Cricetulus griseus: one gene and its partner. The protein of the gene in region 1 binds, or shares a complex with, the protein of each later gene. Links are inferred from orthologs where the notes say so. Each region holds a gene or a part of one and is shown on either strand. Other genes may lie near its edges.

Region 1 (4,582 bases):
TTAAGGGGATAGGGAGATGCCCCAGTCAGCAAAATGCTTGCCTTGCAAGCATGAAGACCCAAGTTCAATCCCCAGAACCCATATTTAAAACTCAAGCACTTAGAATTCCAGCAATGGGGAGGTGGATCCTTGGGACTCACTGAGCAGTCAGCCTAGTCTAATCAATGAGTAGCAGGCCAATGAGAACCCTTGTCTCAAAAAAGCGTGGATGGCACCTAAGTCATAACATCTGAGGTTGTCTTTGACCTGTACATGTGTGCCCATAAGCACACTGGCTCATATGCACATATGTAAGTACACAATGCAAACACACACATGCACATTCATGCACACACATGCACACACTCAGGCACACATGAACAGAAAGCAAAAATGACTTCACCTCATTTCTTCTGCATCTTCCTTTCCTTGGGTCTAAGTGCAGTTGGATAATGAGAGTCAAATGCTTTTAATCCCTTGAGCTACTCAGAATTCTAATGCCTACCTTCTTTGTGGAAGATTTTAGGAAATACTAGATCACTTACAAAGTCATCTACAAATCAGTGCCTTAACTGAAACATACATTTAGATGAATCCCATTTCTTGATTTATGACTAGCTGTTTAATCAACATCATCATTTTGTGGTCCAAAAAGCCAAGCATAGAAAAGTGAAAAATAAATAAAATCACTGTTTATCTAATGGGGGTATGTTGTACTAAATATTCCAGGTCTTCACACACAGCATTTCTCAGTCTTCCAGGAGCACAGCATAGCTACACACACTTTACAGACTAAAACAGATAATGTCACACTGCAAATATACTGAAGCCCGGGATGCAGACTTCATCTTCCAGAAACCTTCTCTGTTCTAGGAATCTATTTTTGAAACACAATTGGAATAATGAAGAAGAGCAGTAAGTCTGTGACTCTCTCTAAGTTGATTGGATGCATTTCCAGTTTGATGTCTGCAGCATTGCATGCTGGAGGATATAGAACATTTTGGAGCTCCCGAGAGAGCTCTGTGTGATGTTGCCTTTAACACTTGGTAAAAGGAGGCAGATCTCAGTTTGCAACAAGCCTGAGGTATGTAGTGAGACACTGTCATGCTTGTGTGTGCATACATGTGTGCAGGAACATGCACACACACACACACACACACACACACACACACACACACACACATTCACACAGTAGAGGAAGTCATTTATAAACAAGAATTATATGCCCAGCTACACTACAGATTTAATAGAAATAGAGGGAAAAAAAAGAAGATTCCAAATTTCCTCTTTTACTTGATTTTCAGGAAGATTCTGAGAGACCATGAATGAAAATGACGATGAAACCAAAAAAGAAGACATTCATTCTAGGAAATCTTGTCAGAAACCTAGCAGGACAAAAACAAGCAGATTTTTACTAAAAAAAGAAATCCCAGCACCCCAGATGTGCCATCAGTGTCAACATTAAGCAGAGCAGAAAGTGGAGCCTCATGAGGGATGTGTCAGAGAAGAAAAATGCAAATAAACAGACCAAGTGTAAAACTCAAAGCAACTTTTACTGCTATTAATTTTGGGAGAATGCTAAAAACTGTACAAGAAAGGAGATGAAATCAGTGTAGGTGGGGAAGGAAAATCAATACACAGATTGAGGAGAAAATAAAATCGCAACTTATGAGAATAACACTTTGCTGTAAAATAATATAAAACTGTAACTGATTTAAGGAACAATAGAGTATAGTGGTGTGTGTGTGTGTGTGTGTGTGTGTGTGTGTGTGTGTGTGTGTGAGAGAGAGAGAGAGAGAGAGAGAGAGAGAGAGAGAGAGAGACAGAGACAGAGACAGAGACAGACAGAGACAGACAGAGACAGACAGAGACAGACAGAGACAGAGAGAGAGACACCTGATGAAGAATTAAGTCAATTTTGCCACAGAAGGGTACAGTAATATTTTGTTTTGTTTTATATTGCTTTGCTTTCCTTTGTTTTGAAACAGGGGCTCTCTACATAGTCCTGGCCATTCAGCAACTCGTTAGTGTAGACTGGCTGGCCTCATAGTGATCCACCTGTTTCTACCTTTGGTGTGCAGGGCTTAAAGGTGTACACAACCACGCCCAGTTAGGATGCCAGTACTTTGCGTATGTAAAGATGAAAGAAACATCCAGGAAATATAAATGAAGACAAAAAGAAATTCTTAGATGTGGTTCAAGAACTTTGTCCTGGAGTGTACACCCCTGGCATGAGAAGCAGGTTTGTGCTTCATCACAGATCTGGGGATTCTGAAGGGATTACTGAAATACATGTGATAAAATATTTGCAAAGCAGAGCAGATGGATTTAAATACAGTCCACACCCTGTCCCTCATTGTTCTGTTTCTCTGTACATTGAAATGCGCTTTTAGTGAGGCTACAGTGGCACATTTTGCTCTCCTTGTGCCTGGTGCCATTAACACTGTCTACCATGTAGGTTTGTGGATGTGTCCTGAGATGCTAACAGGCTTTCTTACAGATGAAGTTCAGCATACATGTACTGACTAATGAGAAAATTATCTGTCAGAAAGAAAAGTCTGGTTTTTCTAATTTATAAAATATTTTCAATTTACTATATTTTATTTGGCACGATCTCACCTAGGCAGCCTTCAGACTTGAACTCTTGGGGATAATAGACATGTGTCACTCTGTCTGGCTAACCTAACTCTTTCTTGAGATGAACAAATTGATTAAATTGTTAAATAAGCAGCTAAGGAAACAAAACTAAAACAAAAATTTATAATGGGTGTCTATGACCTAAGGATCATGGCCACTCCAACTTTTCCACGAATCTTGGTGAAAAAAGTCACCTGTGCAAGCCAGGCACACTGCATTCTCTCGGTGAAAATGAAAACAATTTTAATAATTATTACGCTTTAGAGTCCGACTCATTAATAAGATTTAAATTTATCACTGGGATTTAGTTACCTGGAAAACGGGCATAGGGAATTTGCCTTTCATAATAGCTTTCTAACTGAGAGTAGGAAAATTCACTGCGCGGTTAATGCTCAGAACAAGACAGAGGCTATAGCATCCTTTCCTTGCAGTGAAGTTCGCCATCTACTGACGCTCTTAAGAAATTCTTCATCAGAGAGCTTTAAATTTCCTTTTCTTCCTTCCTTTCTTTTCTTGTCCCTCTAAGAACAGCAGAATTCCTTCAAGGAAAATGTCTTGAGTGATCCGGGTGAACACATCAGCAGTAGGCCTGGTCCAATTGAGGCACTGCGGACGCGGCCCTTGCTTCCGGTCCAACAGGACTTGCCCCCTCTTCCTTGGAGATGCCCTTCAGGAGTCCCGAGGACTGAGAACAATGGCAGAAGGGGGGAAAAGCATTTCTCATAATTTTTACAAGTAACCATTTTTGCATTTCCCATTGCCATTTTAAAATGAAATAATTACATTTGTTGAAAAGTAGGAATTAATTTCACCAGTTGTAAAGATATTAAAGACTCGTACTTCTTTGCATGTGTATGTCAGTGTATTATTCTGTAATTAAATTTATATGGAAAGTAGGCACCTTGGCAATTTAGCTAGTTGTGAAGTGCATCGTATTTATTCTCCTGGTGGAATGGGAAGGAATCTTTCCAGGAGGGAACCGTTTAATTTTTCAGAGGTTGCTGTCGACAGCATTTATTCTTTAAGCTGTCCTGGTCTTCTATCTACTTACCAAAGAAGAAGATAACTGAATGCTTTTTGAACATTCGATTATCTGAAAAATCAAGGTATTGTTTAATATCACCACTTCATTAACTTTTCTATTAACCAATAAAGAAGGTGAAGCCAAGGGGACAGTGGGACAGCACCAAGTCTGTCTCTGCTTGCGAAGCTTCTGTCTCCTCCTCTTCGAAACCTGAGCAGGACAATTTGTCTGTTTTTTTATGGAGATTAAGTCATTAGATCTTAATCCTGGGCAAGCATACTAAGCCCAAGATAAATGCTATATATGAGGTTGTGAAATGACCTAACTAACCATACAGAGAAAAAGATGTGTTGTATTGTCCTCAGCACCTATTTATCCCAATATACACTCTACAGTTATTTCCTGAGTATGGATTTTGCAAGCCATGCTTCTTTAATGATGTCTTTATACCAAACATGCACTTGTATATGGTCACCAACTATAATCACTACATACAAGCCATGTGTGAAGAAGTAATGATTAATACTCATTAAAAACATTTTCACATAAGTATTCCATTGTTATCCCTTTCTCAGTCTTTTCTTAGAATTTAAGACTCTCTAATCATGTCTGCCATTCATTTTTATTGATACTGAACTTAAGCATCAAATTCATTCTCTGCCATCAGAAAGATGGGAAGGGGGAAATGGCTGGAACTATTATGTGTCATATTTGGGTCAAAAATAGCAATTTTAATATGCCCATATTTAGTCAAACTAAACTCCCCACTACTACTGTCCCAATAGTATATGCACACTTATTTGGGTTCACATTGCTCAGAGGCACAAGTTTTTCCTGGATTTATTAATTCATTTTTGGTTTTTTCAGACTAGTGGGACATAGTCAAGGACTTAGAGAACTCATTTCTAAGGGGTGTGCTAGCTTTGGTGTGGAGTAACTTTT
Region 2 (3,820 bases), about 75 Mb from region 1:
AAGTCTTATGGTAATATTTGTTAATCCAAATAAAGAATTCCAAAAGAAATAAAAAAGTTTCCTTAATAAAATGTTTGATTAAAATAGCACAAACCTAGTGCCTCTGCCCTCTAAAAACCCATACCCAAAATGAATAAAGAAAAAAACTAATCACTATTTTGGGAAGCTATTTAAGAATCAACTTCTGTCTGTGTACATCTACTTAATGCCACTGATTTTGTGGCTTGAGTTGCTATCAGCAACAGATTTGGCCACATTTTTTTTTTTTAAATTTTATTCATTTATTATGTATACACTCTTATTGCCTGCATGCCAGCAGAGGGCACCGGATCTCATTCAAGGTGGTTGTGAGCCACCATGTGGTTGCTGGGAATTGAACTCAGGACCTCTGGAAGAACAGTCAGTGCTCTTAACTGCTGTTCATCACCAGCCATCTCACCAGCCCTTGGCCACATTTATTAAGAGTTCTATGTTAAAGCTGAATCTTTTATAAAAGGCAAAACATTTCCATAGCAAACAAAATCTTTAAAGCCCCAAATTTCTCTCTCTCTCTCTCTCTCTCTCTCTCTCTCTCTCTCCTCTCTCTCTCTTTTTTTGGTTTTTTCGAGACAGGGTTTCTCTGTGTAGCTTTGGAGCCTATCCTGGCACTCGCTCTGGAGACCAGGCTGGCCTCGAATTCCTGAGTGCTGGGATTAAAGGCCTGCACCACCAACACCTGGCGCAAAGCCCCAAATTTCTAAAGGTAATGTTTAAAATAGAAATCTAAGAAGCACTGGCTGGTAATTTTAAGTTTGGGTCACTCTGTCAGATAGGTAAATTTAAGGTTTTATCACTCAGATAGCAGAATCTTGACTGTGGTACTTGTGAGTGGTTGAAACAATGGCCTTAAAACTGGGAGTGATGGCTCAGAGGTTAAGAGCACCATCTGCTCTTCCAGGGTTCCTGAGTTCAATTCTCAGCAACCACATGGTGGCTTACAATCATCCATTATGAGATCTGGTGCCCTCTTCTAGTGTGCAGATATACATGGAAGCAGAATGTTGTATACATAATAAATAAATAAAATCTTAAAAAAAAACAAAACAAAAACTAAGAATAACATTTGAATTTTCTAATTTTTCTCAGATCAGAAAAGGGTAGAGACTTATAGTCAGCACTAGAGTTAACTATATTTTTAGTTTCAAAAAAATATACATGTTGAAAGTGAAAGAGATTTAGCTACATATTTGGTTTTACAAAAAGAATGGAAAATTGCAGTAGAACTTAAAATAATCTGTCGTTCTTGGACCCAAATACAGTTTTTACTAGATTAGTTTACAAAACATGTCCTCAAGTTCAACACTCTAAAACACAATTCTAGTTCACCTGTGTTCGCAGACTTAAAAGACATATTTTGCCAGAGTTGATCACTTGTCGTACAGAATCGATGCTGGTTCCATACAAATTTTTCTCAAATTCACCATGTTCAATGAACTTGCCAGCTGCTATATCTGCTTCAAATGCTTGCCGTGAAACGAAGTGGTAATCTCTACCAGCTACTTCATGGTCTCGCCTATTCCGAGTTGTATCTAAGCAAACACAATCAGATAAAAATAATGAACACAAGGGCCTGCAGGGAATGACTGGAGGTCAAGAGCATATTCTGGCCTTTCCAGAAGACCTGAGCTCAGTTCCTAACACTCTCATCAGGTAGCCTACAGCTCCGGGTACATGGAGCCTGCTTCTGCTCTCCACAGGCAAGTGCACTAACATGCATACCCTCTTCTCCCAATATACATACAAATAAAACAAATCTTTAATAATAATGTTAGTAAACATGGATCAGCATGGAGTAAGATCAATCCAGGAAGAATTTTTATTTTATAACACAAATTATGAAATAATGAACTGAGGAAATGTTAAGGGCCTGTGTGTTTAGCACTGTTCCTATGGAGACATGAACAAAAACTATTTATACTCTCTTACTAGTTAACCTTAGTTACCTTGATCCATTTGGTTTATACTGTAAAACACTGCCAAGTCATCTTTCCTTAAAATGTATTTCCATAAGAGTAGGTACTATGTAATCTTAAATTTGTATTCAGAAATTAGGTCTAAATTTCTATCTTCAACATCAGTATTTAAAGAATCAGGAATTGGGTTTCCTATGTAATAGGGAAAGGGGCCCAAACTAAAAAAATTTTTTAGAAAATCCCCTAGTGCCATACACTTAGGAAAATTTTAATTCCTTAAGACTACCTTTAGCTGGGCGGTGGTGGCACACACCTTTAATTCCATCATTCAGGAAACAGAGGCAGATAGATGTCTGTGAGTCTGAGGCCAGCCTGGTCTACAGAGTAAGTTCCAGAACAGGCGCCTAAGCTACAAAGAAATCCTGTCTCAAAAAACAAAAACAAACAAAAAGAACTACCTTTAATAAAAACTTGCCATCAGGTTTGGTTAAACAAATTTCCTCTTTCATTGACAATATTGTTTCAATAAAATGAAATTTTCCCTGTGTAGTTAAGATTCTGAGAAAAGCACAGGAAAATGGGAATGTGTCCAAACTTACGAGGGACTGCAGATGCAAAGCGGTCTTTTTCTTTGTTCATGAGTCTCTGACGCAGTTCATTCTGGCCGCAGTTCTGTGGACCAATCAAGATAATAGGTCTTTTCCTATTTGCTGGCTGATGGTAAAGTGACATTTCCTCGTATGTTAAGATCTCTTCATTGTCATAATCTTTGGGAAAGAAAGAGTTGAAAATTTCAGATATAATTAATGCCATGTCATAGATACTTTCTTACATAAAATAGCTAGGTTTTGTTGGTAGTGTTGAGTGCTTGTTTTTGAGGCAGGAGCTTGTTCCGTAGCCCAAGCTAGCTTCAAACTTGTGGCAATCCTCCTGCCTTAGCCTCCCAAGTGCTGAGATTACAGGTGTTTAAACCACCCTGTCTAATTTAAAAGTAACTAGTTTGCAAGTGAACACTGTAACACAGGAGACTGCTAGGGGATATTTATGTGTCAGTTTCATAAAGACTACACTTAATAGGGTTATTTTTAGGATCAGATATAATGGAGAGCAAGTATGGATAAACATCCGCACACAGTGGCTATGACTAGTATATCTGAGAGTGCTAGAATGCTTTCCTGTACTTACACAAATTAAAAATAAATCACACTTATACTATTTATCCTCTGATCCAGAATCATGACTCAAAATACAAGCTATAAGGAGTGAGGTAACACTCCTAAAAACCTAAGATAAGATGAAGCCAAAGCTATCAAGTCAGAACAAAGGCAAGCAATTAGCAGCCCTTATGAGGAAGAGGCACCAGGAAGTTCCATAAGGGAGGGAACCTTTTTAGTCTTGCTAGTATCCACCATAAGAGTTGGAGCTAGAATTTAAAAATTCTAACTCAGCTGTTTAATTAGCTGTAACAATTTAAGCAGAAACTTTAATATCTGAACTTCCATCTCATCTTGTAAGTCTGCAACCTCAAGGAATTTACTGTGAGACAAAAGTACAGTACATCATTTATTGCCATGGAGCACAGCAAGTACTTTAAGCAGCACTGACAATTGCTGCTTTTCTCAAAGTCAAAATCACACTGGTGGCATTCTGATTCCCAGACTTACTCAATTCTACATCTGGGGGCTTCAGATTTGCCAAGTATCCTACAGTATAGAAGCTCTCAGGGCCATACTGATCAACTCGAGTCTGTTTTAAGAAGTAGAACATTTACCTCAAATGCATGAGGTCTCAGGTTCAGTTCTCTGCACACAGAGAGATTGTGAGTGGAGGCAGAAAGGAAAGGAAATAAAACAGTTCATCCCCAGACT

Evidence for each region.
Region 2: the proteins of Crb1 (region 1) and Mpp5 are in contact, whole or in part, in a crystal structure (PDB 4UU5), measured with the Homo sapiens proteins. The link is inferred for Cricetulus griseus from reciprocal best matches to the Homo sapiens genes CRB1 and PALS1. Residues at the interface, in NP_957705.1 of Homo sapiens: Ala1401, Met1402, Glu1403, Arg1404, Leu1405, Ile1406; in NP_071919.2 of Homo sapiens: Lys261, Pro266, Leu267, Gly268, Ala269, Thr270, Val271, Arg272, Asn273, Ser281, Arg282, Val284, Val314, Asn315, Val317, Phe318, Leu321.

What each region holds. Positions count from the first base shown.
Region 1 is NC_048598.1:49,995,064-49,999,645, reverse strand, and holds the start of Crb1 (protein crumbs homolog 1), read right to left. Parts: upstream 2,835-4,582; coding exon 2,758-2,834; intron 857-2,757; coding exon 804-856; intron 1-803. UniProt on the Homo sapiens protein: Plays a role in photoreceptor morphogenesis in the retina. May maintain cell polarization and adhesion.
Region 2 is NC_048598.1:124,811,390-124,815,209, forward strand, and holds part of Mpp5 (MAGUK p55 subfamily member 5), read right to left. Parts: intron 2,720-3,820; coding exon 2,552-2,719; intron 1,569-2,551; coding exon 1,366-1,568; intron 1-1,365. UniProt on the Homo sapiens protein: Plays a role in tight junction biogenesis and in the establishment of cell polarity in epithelial cells.